Linked DNA regions of Drosophila melanogaster. The protein of the gene in region 2 interacts with the protein of the main gene of each other region in a pairwise test. Each region holds a gene or a part of one and is shown on either strand. Other genes may lie near its edges.

What was found.
Region 1: the proteins of CG11349 (region 2) and Osi15 interact in a two-hybrid assay, tested with the Drosophila melanogaster proteins (one large-scale study listed by BioGRID).
Region 3: the proteins of CG11349 (region 2) and CG14757 interact in a two-hybrid assay, tested with the Drosophila melanogaster proteins (one large-scale study listed by BioGRID).

What each region holds. Positions count from the first base shown.
Region 1 is NT_033777.3:6,299,660-6,303,413, reverse strand, and holds the start of Osi15 (osiris 15), read right to left. Parts: upstream 1,611-3,754; 5' UTR 1,502-1,610; coding exon 1,183-1,501; intron 623-1,182; coding exon 470-622; intron 412-469; coding exon 239-411; 3' UTR 1-238. Other genes in the region: Osi14 (osiris 14), read right to left, coding at 2,837-3,195, 3,250-3,455.
Region 2 is NT_037436.4:4,471,059-4,474,812, forward strand, and holds the start of CG11349 (uncharacterized protein), read left to right. Parts: upstream 1-2,009; 5' UTR 2,010-2,018; coding exon 2,019-2,021; intron 2,022-2,079; coding exon 2,080-3,754. Other genes in the region: CG32248 (uncharacterized protein), read left to right, coding at 707-709, 781-1,326.
Region 3 is NT_033778.4:8,172,014-8,175,767, reverse strand, and holds CG14757 (uncharacterized protein), read left to right. Parts: upstream 1-2,154; 5' UTR 2,155-2,270; coding exon 2,271-2,288; intron 2,289-2,398; coding exon 2,399-2,595; intron 2,596-2,996; coding exon 2,997-3,273; 3' UTR 3,274-3,404; downstream 3,405-3,754. Other genes in the region: LRP1 (LDL receptor protein 1), read right to left, coding at 937-1,111; Mlh1, read right to left, coding at 3,424-3,754.

The DNA.
Region 1 (3,754 bases), on a different chromosome or scaffold from region 2:
TCTCTTTTTTTGTGATTTTTTTTGGTATGTCGCAGCTAACTAACTAAATGTAACTAAATAATTATTGACTACGAATTAGGCCATTCTTCAGGAAAGTCTTAGAGGGATAGGTTGTGGAAATGGTGATGAAGTGGGGGGAAGTTGAAGAAGGGAGACGCTTTGGTAGGATAAGATATAGCAGGTGAAAGATAGAGGCTAGTACAGAGTGGGATGGATGGATCGGTGGGTGTTTTCCGGCTTAGAAGGGCTGGGCCAGACCATAGTGGTTGTAGGCCAGATCGGCGGCACCTGCCTGACCATTGCGGCTCCAGTCGGAGTGCACGATGTCGGCGTTCAGCGGGCTGCCGGTGATGTAGGCAGTGGTGATGTGTTCCTTCTTCTTGGCCAACAGATCCTTGAAGAAGGTGGCACCTGTGCGGGAAACGTGGGTAAAAAGTGCTATTCCTGAGATCATTAAAAGTAAACTCACCAGCCAGGATGAGGGCCAGGAAGGAGATGGCCAGAGCCTTCAGCGAGATGAACTTGATGATGGTGAACATAATCTTGACAACGACGGCCTTCTTCAGCTTCAGGGCCAAAAGAAGGGGCAGCAGCATCTTCTTCATGCGCTTGCTGCGGGACTCTGTTTATTCCGGGAGGGAGAAAGTAAAGAGAAATCGGGGTTTTAGCCATGCTCCTAAAAGTATTCAAGGCCTGGCAGTCGAGGTAAAGCTTTCACTTCGCTTCCCGTCAGCACAACTGAGTATGCTAGTAGTTTTGCTTTTGGCAGTTGGCTTTCTGCACAGCAGAGTGGACCTTAGTACGTTTAGCCTTAGTAAGTAGACTTTGAAGTGTTCGTTTACCGTACAGAACAGGAACGACTTGAGAGCCAGGACGGTTTACCAAAGCTATTCTCGTATGCGCACGAATGCCTCTGTTTTTGTAGTAATTAATAAAAATGTAACTTATAACTCGTTTAAAATTATTTCAAAATTCTTTGGCTATCAACTCACGTATTTACTACCATTCTATCGATTTATGTCTCTCAAAAACATACAAATTTTTAAATTCTGACCTAATATTAAGTATCTAAGATATTCAACGCAATATGAAAACTTTAAAAGCAAGTAGCTTAAATAGCTTTTTTTTCTTTGGATTAAACTATATTCTGTTTTTCAAATAAAGGAAACCAAGATCACTCACCATCCATGGCGCGTCCGGTGTACTCGTTCTCGGAGTTCTCGTCCTGCTCATCGCCGGAGAAGGAGAGGTTTAGCTCGTGGGTCTCCAGGTAGCGCTCGGCGCGGTCCTCGAAGGACTCGACGGCCTTGGATGCACCGAAGCTACGGCCCGACTCCGACCGGTCGATCCTCAGACCGCCGAACAGCGCGACGGACTCCTCGCTGTCTAAGCGGTTCAGCATGTTGACCAGGTCCCGCTCGGTGTTGTCCTGGGAGGGAAGGGCCATGGAACCGCACACAAGGCTGGCCAGCAGCACTACACATACGAATTTCGCGCACATTTTTATTAGCACTTGGGGGTGTCTTGACTTTGGGTAGGTTATAATCCGTGGGACGGCTGCCTGGAGCTGGTGAGTGCTGCCGATGTGAACGGGAATCGCTTTGTGATTAATTGAATGCACTGCCCCCGCGTTTTATACCATTTCGATTTGACGTCGATTGACCAATTTTGTGGCTAGAAATCGCGTGGCAGGCCAAAAATCCAAAACGCACCGCTCGCCGCTGCAATAACAATAACAATACCGAACGGCAATACCAAAAATCCAAAAGCAATTTATGCAAAGCATATGCGTATGCTACCTGGCCGGCAGTTTCTTGACCATATTTCCACGCACGTCGCGATGTCAACGAAAGGGAAGTGGCCAGTGGTCGGCCGGCTGAATATTATTTTTTTGTATATACCATACATATATTTTATATAAGCAAGTGGCCCGATTTCGGGTGCTCGACCGTTATCCGTATCCTAATTGGCATTCAATGGAGTCGCCGGTGCTACGTGTTGGGATTGCCTGCGCCAGATTCTTGGCCGGTTGTTCCTCTCCATTAGCTCCATCAGGGCTCACGATGGAGCGGAGAATATAGTGGTGGATCTGCGAGACCCACACGTATTTGGTATGCCCCGCCGGTGGTGACTTAATGCACAATTTGGCCCAGTTAGTTACTCTGGCGCTTTCAACGCTTTCGATTTCATTCTCCCTTTGTCAACTGTCGTTCGTGGCTTGTTTTCTATTTCAATTGCTTCTAAATCTGCCTGTGAAAGAAAGCTGAATTGTAGCACATCGCCGCATATATCTCTTTTCAATCGCAAAGTGACACTTTTATGAGCATAAGTAGAAAGTTTCTGGCAAACAATTAACATGCCGAACGGCCGTCACATGGCCACTAGAAACTCCAATTATGAGCAGGCCACCAACTTGCCAAAAACTAAATCCCCAGCTTATCAGCTCTTTTTCTCAACATTTTCTGTGTTCTTTTGGGTTTTTTTTTGTGTTCAGAAACAGAACCTGCCACAAGTTTTAATTGCCAGCCGCAAACTTGTTGCCGCCCAGCGAGCAAAGTTCCACATATTTGTTTTGGGGTCTGTCAGCATTTCAATTAAGCCCTGGGAAACTGGGAAAGTCTCTGGGCACAGGTGAGCACTGTCCACGTGCGTGGATTTGCGGATTATATTTTTTTCGGGTGCAATACTCTTGGTTTTATTCATACATTCGACTTGACTTGCGGGTGATGTGTGCGTGGTGTGTCAATAAATTAGTTAATTACATTTCGAATAAATTACTACAGGCTAAAGGTTTCAAAACGAAGGCACATCTGTTTGAGCTGTCTCCCAGCCGCTTCTACTGCTGCTGCTGGCCGGCGTAGGCCAATTGCTGGGCATCGGACCCATCCTCGCTGATGCTGCGGGCATAGGGATAGGACGAGGAGGCTCCCGAGCTCCAGCCGGCGCTGGCGGGTGCGGACCATGCGTTCGAGTTGTAGGCTCCGGCAAAGGAGTTACCTCCGAACTTGTTGCCGAATCCGCCCAGCAGGCGGGATCCGCCGACCAGAATGGCCAGGAAGAAGGCCAGCTTGGCCACGATCACGGCCTTGAAGGTCAGCAGGGCCAGAAACCCGAGCACCAGGGGAATGACGGCGAACAGCTTGGCGCCAATGGCCAGAGCCACGGGTCCCAGCATCTTCTTGATCTTGCCACGGCCTGTGATTGGATGTTAGGTAACCATGTTTTATCGTATCCCAAGTCAAAACCCACCTTCATCGAGGGCACGAGCCACCTGCTGGGTGGTCTCGGCGGGCAGCTTGAACTCCAGGTTGTGGGTGCTTAGGAAGTCGGCGGCACTAGAGACGGCCAGATCCACTAGACGACCAGTACGCTCATCGGCATTCTGGGGCAGCTCGGCATAGACATCCTGCTCGCTCATCGATTTTCCCGTGCGGGAAACGGGACTGGCGGGATCCCTAAAATGATATTGTAAGTTATAAATACATTTTCACATTTACTTAACTTTTATGACAACTTATATGCCGAATGCCTCTAATGTCTTATTATACCACTTTTAAATTTACTGTCATAATTTTTGGAATTATGTAAGAATTCCAATAATAATTAACATTAATTATGAAGTGTTTTTAGCCTTAGCCTTGGCTCACCATTTAAATCTATAAAGACCATAAAAAATGGGTATCAGAATATAACTATCTAATAACTAATTTCTCTAAACTTATTTTTAATTGCCTACATATCTTGATATCATAAT
Region 2 (3,754 bases):
CAGATCAGATAACGTGATTATGCAAAAAAGGGCACCATATGCCATTAACCCCAAGAGGAAATGTTTAAGATACCTAATACCTTGGGAGTCGCGATCTTGAGGCTTCTCTGAACAATTAATCAATCAGTCCATCAATCGAGTTAGCGGAACATTAAGTCATTAGCCTGAGCAATTTGTTTGCTTTAAGTGGATAAGGTATACGGCTGACTAGATAGTTTATGACCGGCTAATTGCTATACTTCTTGTTCTGGATCGATTTAAAAATAGCTCTCTGCTACTGTTTCTATTAACCCAATATCGGGTTTAGTCTTAGCAAAAGCTTGGGTGAATTAAAAAAGCTCTTCTTCAAGACGAAACCAAACTATCAGGTTTGCGATAAAATTGTTTTGGCAAAAAAATTAAGCTGTGATACGTGTATTCTTATGAATATTTATATTTAATATGACAGCAAAAAAATGAGAGTTTTAAATCCAAACTCCATGGCGTACCTAACTGATAAAAACAAGCCCCATATGGCGTCGTGGTCGAGGTATCTGTTTGCCCAATTAAACAAATTTTTCGACGCGAAGAAAAACGTTTCGTTGATTTATGATACTCAGCACTTCCGTTTGGATCCGCAGATTCTCCGACTTGTATAAAAGTACAGGAGTCGCCGGTCTAAGATATTATTCGGTTCGTTGCTCCTAAAGCAAACAGATCATCTAAAATGGTAAGGATCTCCCATCTGTATTGCGGATTATATTAGTTGGCATATTATTCTATTTCGATTTTTCCCTGTAGAAATTCTTTATCTTGACCTTGGCCGTGGTTGGCTGTGTGGCCGCCGAATCTGGCTACAACTACAATGCTCCCCGCCAGGTAGCCGCCTCTGCCCCGGCTCCTGTTTTCCAGCAAGCTGCCTCTGCTCCGGCTCCAGTGAGGACCTACGTGCCCCCAGCTCCAGCTGCCTCTGCCCCAGTGCAGTCGTTTGCCCCTGCCCCAGCTCCAGTAGCTGCTCCTGCTCCCGTTTTCCAGCAGGCCGCCTCTGCACCCGCACCAGCCCGCACATACGTGCCTCCCGCTCCCCATGTCCACCACCATGCCGCCGCCTCAGCTCCAGCTCCCGTTCAGTCCTTTGCTCCTGCTCCAGCTCCCGCCCCCGCCCCCGTGCAGTCCTTCGCCTCTGCTCCAGCTCCTGCTTTCGAGTCCTCCGGACCGGTGTTCGAGGCCGCAGCTTCCGCCCCCTCTGCCGCCCGCTCCGGATACGATTATAGCCAGCCCGCCGCCAGCCAGCAGGGATACAAGTACAAGACCGTCCGTCGCCGTGTGTTCAAGCACCGCGCTTAAACGATGATGATGATACGATAAAATGCGACAATAAAAAACTCGAATATTAAATTTATAAAAACATAGTTTTATTTGAGCATTAAAACACTAATAAAGATAATATGATAATTTGATAATTAAACAAGAATGATATGGTGTATAGTTTTAGCAAAAGAAGCGCGCAAAAAAAAAAACTATAAAACCTAAAACAACATTTCAAAAGTGCTAAAATTCTTGCTAGAAAAGAAAAAAAAAATCGCAAAATTAAATTTTATTAATAATTGTTAGTTAGTACTGGAGTGCAGTTTTTCTTATCCATAACTAACAATCAGTTGTTAATGATAAATTAGTTTGAAGCTTCAATTGTATTACTAGGCCAAATTCACACCTGGAAACGAAGTTCAAAGAACCCATGCGTTATCGCATAAGTGTGCAGCGCACTTGGGCCAATAAATTTAAACGCTTTGATCTGACAAATTTACGGGACACTTTCGTTGTGCTTCAGAATATTCAATAGAATTTAAATTGGCGGCTATTCAATAAGAACAAATGGGTCACATAAAGCGCGGAATCGATTTCTCACGCTCGGCAACAGGTTTCGCTTTCAACTGTGGTCTTTTTTGGGGGCTCGATGTGGGGATGCAACAAAAAAGATCCCGAAGAGAGTATATAAGTTGCATCTACAGCTGCTTACAGTCACTGGCACTTTAGCAATGGTAACGGATCAACGATAGGTTCTAGGTTCCGCATTTCACCAATCCATTTTTATTTTAGAATGTCCTCGTGATCCTGGTTCTATGCCTTATGGCAATCGCATGTCTGGCGGACGTTTCCCATGTGAAACACCACAAGCACCAGCGGCATCATCACTCCAGGGATCACGAAGATGACGATGAGGAGTCCCATTACCTACCTCCCCACGAGGAAAAGGAGGTGGAGCAACCTTTTTACAAGAAGGAGAAGCACACCAGTGAAAAGGTGGTTTACCACAAGGTAGAGGAGCACGAGGAGCCCAAATACTACAAGGAGCATCAACATGAAGAGCCCAAAAAGCAGCGAGTGGATCACTACCATCACTATGACAAGAAGCCAGAAGTAAAGACCCAGCACATTCACTACAAGCATAGCAAGCCCCATGTCCGTACGGATTACAATCAGGACTTGTTCACCCCAGCTGCTACCCAAGTGGTTTATCGCCGCCGTCGTCCTAGTCGAATTCTATACGCCAGTGCCCCCAACTCGGTGTTCCACACCCACACGCAGATCAACGTGCAGTCCCAGGATTCGGAATTGAATTCCCTTACTCGCCCAGATCGTGCAGCAGGAGCACAGGATCCTGCTGGGGCTCAAGCACCGACTGGAGCCCAGGCACCAGGATTTCGACCCAACTGCCAGTTTGTTGGACCTGGAAACGTACCACCTGGCTGTGGACCCTCTGATCCCATAGGTGCTCAGCTACCAGCCAGTGCTTTGGCTCCCACTGGTGCTAATCTTCCGGCCAATCAACCTGTTGCCGGCGGACAATTGGCTGTTCTGGGTAACGGTCAGCGACCTCCACGTCCAGGTGGCTATGGAGGTGGATATGGCAACCGACTCAACTTTTTTGTTGATCCTTCGCTGGGCGCTCAGCTGGGAGCCATAGGTAATGCTGGAGCTGGAAATCAACAGGCTGCCGGAGGAGGTCAGCTTGCGGGAGGAGCTCAACTTGGAGGGAGCCAAGGATTCGACCCTTCCTTTGGTGCCCAAGCAGCTGCCGGAGGACCATTTAACACTGGTTTTGGAGCTGGTCAAAGACCTCAAAGACCTGCGCAAAACCAATATGATCCCAACCTTCAGCTAGGTGGCCCTTTTGACCCCTCCGTGGGTGCTCAATTGGGCGCAGGTCAGGGTGTTTCTAACCAAAGACCAAGTGGACAGGGAGCATTTGATCCTTCTACAGGTGCTCAATTGGGCGCAGGTGAGGGTGTTTCTAACCAAAGACCAAGTGGACAGGGAGCATTTGATCCTTCTACGGGTGCTCAATTGGGTGCAGGTCAGGGCTTTAACCAGAGACCAAGTGCACAGGGAGCATTTGATCCTTCGACAGGTGCCCAACTTGGAGCTGGACAAGGCGTGCCTAACCAGCGACCCAATGCAGCTGGACCAGGAGCTTTTGATCCCAATCAGCGACAGTCCGACCCCTCCATTGGAGCCCAATTGGCAGCGGGACAAGTACCACGCCTCAACAACCGACGACAGCGCAATCGATCCAACTACCAGGGTCTCAATGTGCTGAATGGAAACGTTTTCGGACAACCCCATCTCCAGGGACCCACAAATGCGCTGGGAAATCAACAGGACACCAACATCATAGACGGCAACTTCTACAGCGATCCTCATCATGGACACCAGCGGGCTTTGGTATCGGTTAATCCTAATCAGCGTTCAGTCCTTATACCCGATGACGATG
Region 3 (3,754 bases), on a different chromosome or scaffold from region 2:
GCGCGTTCCTTCTTCACAATCTTAACGAGATGGGGGCAGCAGTGGCCTTTGTGCGCAGACTTTTGGACCCCCGGGTCATGGATCATGTGCATGCATAATGCGACCGAGTCAAGAAGTCCATTGTATGTATGTACATAATTTATTTAAATTTATTTGTTGTTGCAGCGCAAATTTTCCGCGGTCATAAGTATTTCATTCGGTGTCAGCGGCTGACGCGAACTACGAATTATATGTATCTTTACTTGCTTACATGCAAAATGTCAAGTGATGGGTTCAAGTGTAACATTTCTAATGATTTTTAATAACTATTCTTTTCTCTTTGAATAACATATAACAATTAAATAGTGCAGTTTTTAATTAAATATAGACCTTAATTCAGTACATTTTTACAAGACTTATTTCTCTATAAGTCCTTCAACTTTTATACTTGAAAACTCTTTGGAAAGAATGCAAGCTCAATTACTTTTTTTTTTGACTATCCTCGAGATCTGCATCTTTGCATGATGGCCAAATATTTTTATTTAATTCTCGTTGCGCGAAAATTCCAACCGAAACCGCAAAAAAAGCGACAAAAATATTTTGCATACACTTGTTTTTGTTTCTATTTTCATTTGTTTTGCGGCATTTTGCGGCGAGAAAACCAAGGAATTTGCATAACAAAGTGAAGTGACGCTTGATGGGGGAGGGGGCATGGAGAAAGGGGAACTAACAGCATACAAAAACAGAGAGACAAAGAGACCGACAGAGAGACAGGATGGCAGACGGAGAGAGCAGTTGTTATTTTTGGCACAGCCAGTGTGATGGGAGGGGAAGCGGGGGAGGAGTTGTTTACTTAGGCCAGGTTAATGCACCGCAGATTAACAACAATTAAGATGCGGGGGAGCGAGAGGGAAGAGGGAGATAGGGAGATGAGCCAGACGGAGATAGCACACGTACCTTTATCGGGAAGGGGACGCAGAGTGGGGGCCTCCTGTTGCTCCTGCCACTGGACCTTCCTGTAGCCGCTGCTGCTGCTGCGACTATTGATGCGCCCGCTGCTGTTGCTGCTGCATCTTTCCACGGCGACCAACAACAACAGCAACAAGATCCATGAATTCGCTGTCGCCGGCATTATGCCGCTGGCCGCTCTCCTCACACACACGCTACCACGCACACACAGACGCGCGCGCGACTCTCCTTGTTGTTGTTCTTCTTCTTGCTCTCCTTCGTGTTGTTTCAGCCTTCCTTTTACACAATAACACAACACTCACACACTCACAAACTCGAACTCACACCAAACACACGTAAACCGGGGGTGGCAAGCAAATCACAAACAGGTAACTTTTTTTTACTTAGATTTCCATTGAAACATGCATTTTGTTTGTTTAATTTTTCGAAACGCTTTACGCGCTCAGAATTCGCTGCACATTAGTACACCGCACTCAATCACTTCAGCATCCCTCATGCCGCGATTTTCTTATCCGCCAAACACAACGGAAAAAAACAAATATTAACTCATTATATTTTGCCGGCTGTTTTCACCGAAGCGGCGTGATTTCCCGTAATTTTTTCTTCGACTTCAGCAGCACGCACGACCGCTCGATTCTATTATATTTCGATCTCTGCTCTGCGAGATTTGCGCGAAGCGACCGAACACCTTCAACTGCGTTTACCGATTGAAGCGCTCCAACCGGTTAAATACTACGCGCAGCTATTGAACAGTATTTTTTACAGCCGCGACTCCGGTCACACCGTCGATGTTTGTGTGATGAAGAAATTTAACAGTGCTGTTAATTGGCCACACAGAAATTGTAAGGCGCTAATTTCAAATTAATTTGATTTATAATCACCTCATTACTTTTAATGGGGATATTTGTTCCAAAAACATGTATAATCCAGTTCTACGTAATCGACGTTGTCGATGGTAAAAACACCACACACAAAACAACACACAACATTACTGTGATGCTTACTGTAATAATTATTTTATAACTCTTTTTAATACTATTATCAATGATTCCCGGATCTCTGGATGGGCGGCGAGGGCATGGCCGTCTGGCGATGCCATAAATATCAACAAGTGCTAATTAAAAATAAAACAGAGGAAGGCCCTTAATAAAAAAAGCTCTGTTAGACAGAGAACGCACTTTTCGTTTTTTAGTCACAAATCGAACGGCCGGCAGTTGTCAAAATATTTTGATTTTTCAAATTTTCCGATAGCTCAATACAAATCCAAAAATACCCACCGAACAGAAAAATTTTTAAGAATTCCATAATTGTCTGTACCCAGAATGCTGCGCCAACTACGGGTAAGCCCTGGAAATGTACCCGAACCGGTTGCATAAGACTGCAATTGAATGCAATTTATGCAGTTTTTCTACATATGTACATTTTCTATTTTTATTTTCGTAACGCCCAGTTGACAATGGATATTTCGGGTTGGATCTTCCTCCCGTGGAGACGCTCCATGTCCAACATGAAGGACTCTCCTCCACCGCCACCACCACTGGCCAGCACTTTCAACGACGTGATTGTGGACTACGAGGACCCGGATTATCTTCCACTGCCGGAGTATCCGGTGCGTCCAAACGAGCCGTTGGAAACTCGCAAGCAACGGTGGGTAAAATTATTAACTATTAATTAATAACTACTACTATAACTATACTTTACTTTATTCTATACTTTACTATACTTACTTTACTTATAAGGAAAATCATTAATTAAAAGAGCTCATATTTAATATATATATTTTCCCTTTGCTCTCATCCACCATTGCCTTAAACACTTCCATTTATGAACTCTACTTTTTTTTAAGAAAGCATGACAACCTCTATTTAGAAAAATTTATACTATTTTAATTTTAAAATGTAGAACAGAAAAATAGGATTTAAACTCCAAGTTTCTTTTTTCTTCATCATCGATCGCACTTCTTAATTTTGCATCAGTTGTACAACCAACTAAGCTATTCTTTCCATAAGTATTTTTTAATATTAACCAGAAAAACACTTCACCTCCAGGCTTTTGTACCAATCGCGCAAGCGCGGAATGCTGGAGAACGATCTTCTGCTGAGCACCTTTGCGGCCAAGCATCTCCAGAACTTCAGCGCCGAGCAGACGGCGCAGTACGACCAGTTGATCAACGGGGTCAGCAACGACTGGGATATCTATTACTGGGCCACCGAGGTGAAGCCCACGCCCAAGGAGTACGACACGGAGATCATGGGGCTGTTGAAGGAGCACGTCAAGAACGCCGAACGGGTCACGCGACTCCGCCAGCCGGATCTGAATATTTAGGCATGCACCTGGTGCTTATGAATATGATTAGTTAGAAGTTTATATGATCCAGGAGATCATATCCTTACCACAATAACCAAAGCGCAAATATGTATGTTTAGAATACCAAATATAATCAATATTTAAAGTTCTGGAAGTGAACAACCTAAACTAGCACCGCTCGAACACCTTGTACAGAGTGGGCAGGTTAGTGAGCTCGTAGATCTGATCCTTGATGCGTGGTGGTGGCAGAAGATATTTTTTAAAGGCAGGAAATAGAACGTGTTCCATTGTCCATCTGGAAAAGCCCGCAGTCGCACCTTCCCGCCAATCCAATTGCGCGTAAAATCGAGCAGTTTCCCTACAGAATGTCTCGAAGCATCGTGTCTCCTGCTCCCAGTCCACTTCGGTGGCCAAGCGGAGCAGGTAAACAGGCAGGTGGGCCACACAAGGTCGATGCTGGTGCAGCAAACTGGGCAGAGATTCGAGCATTCCATCCTCC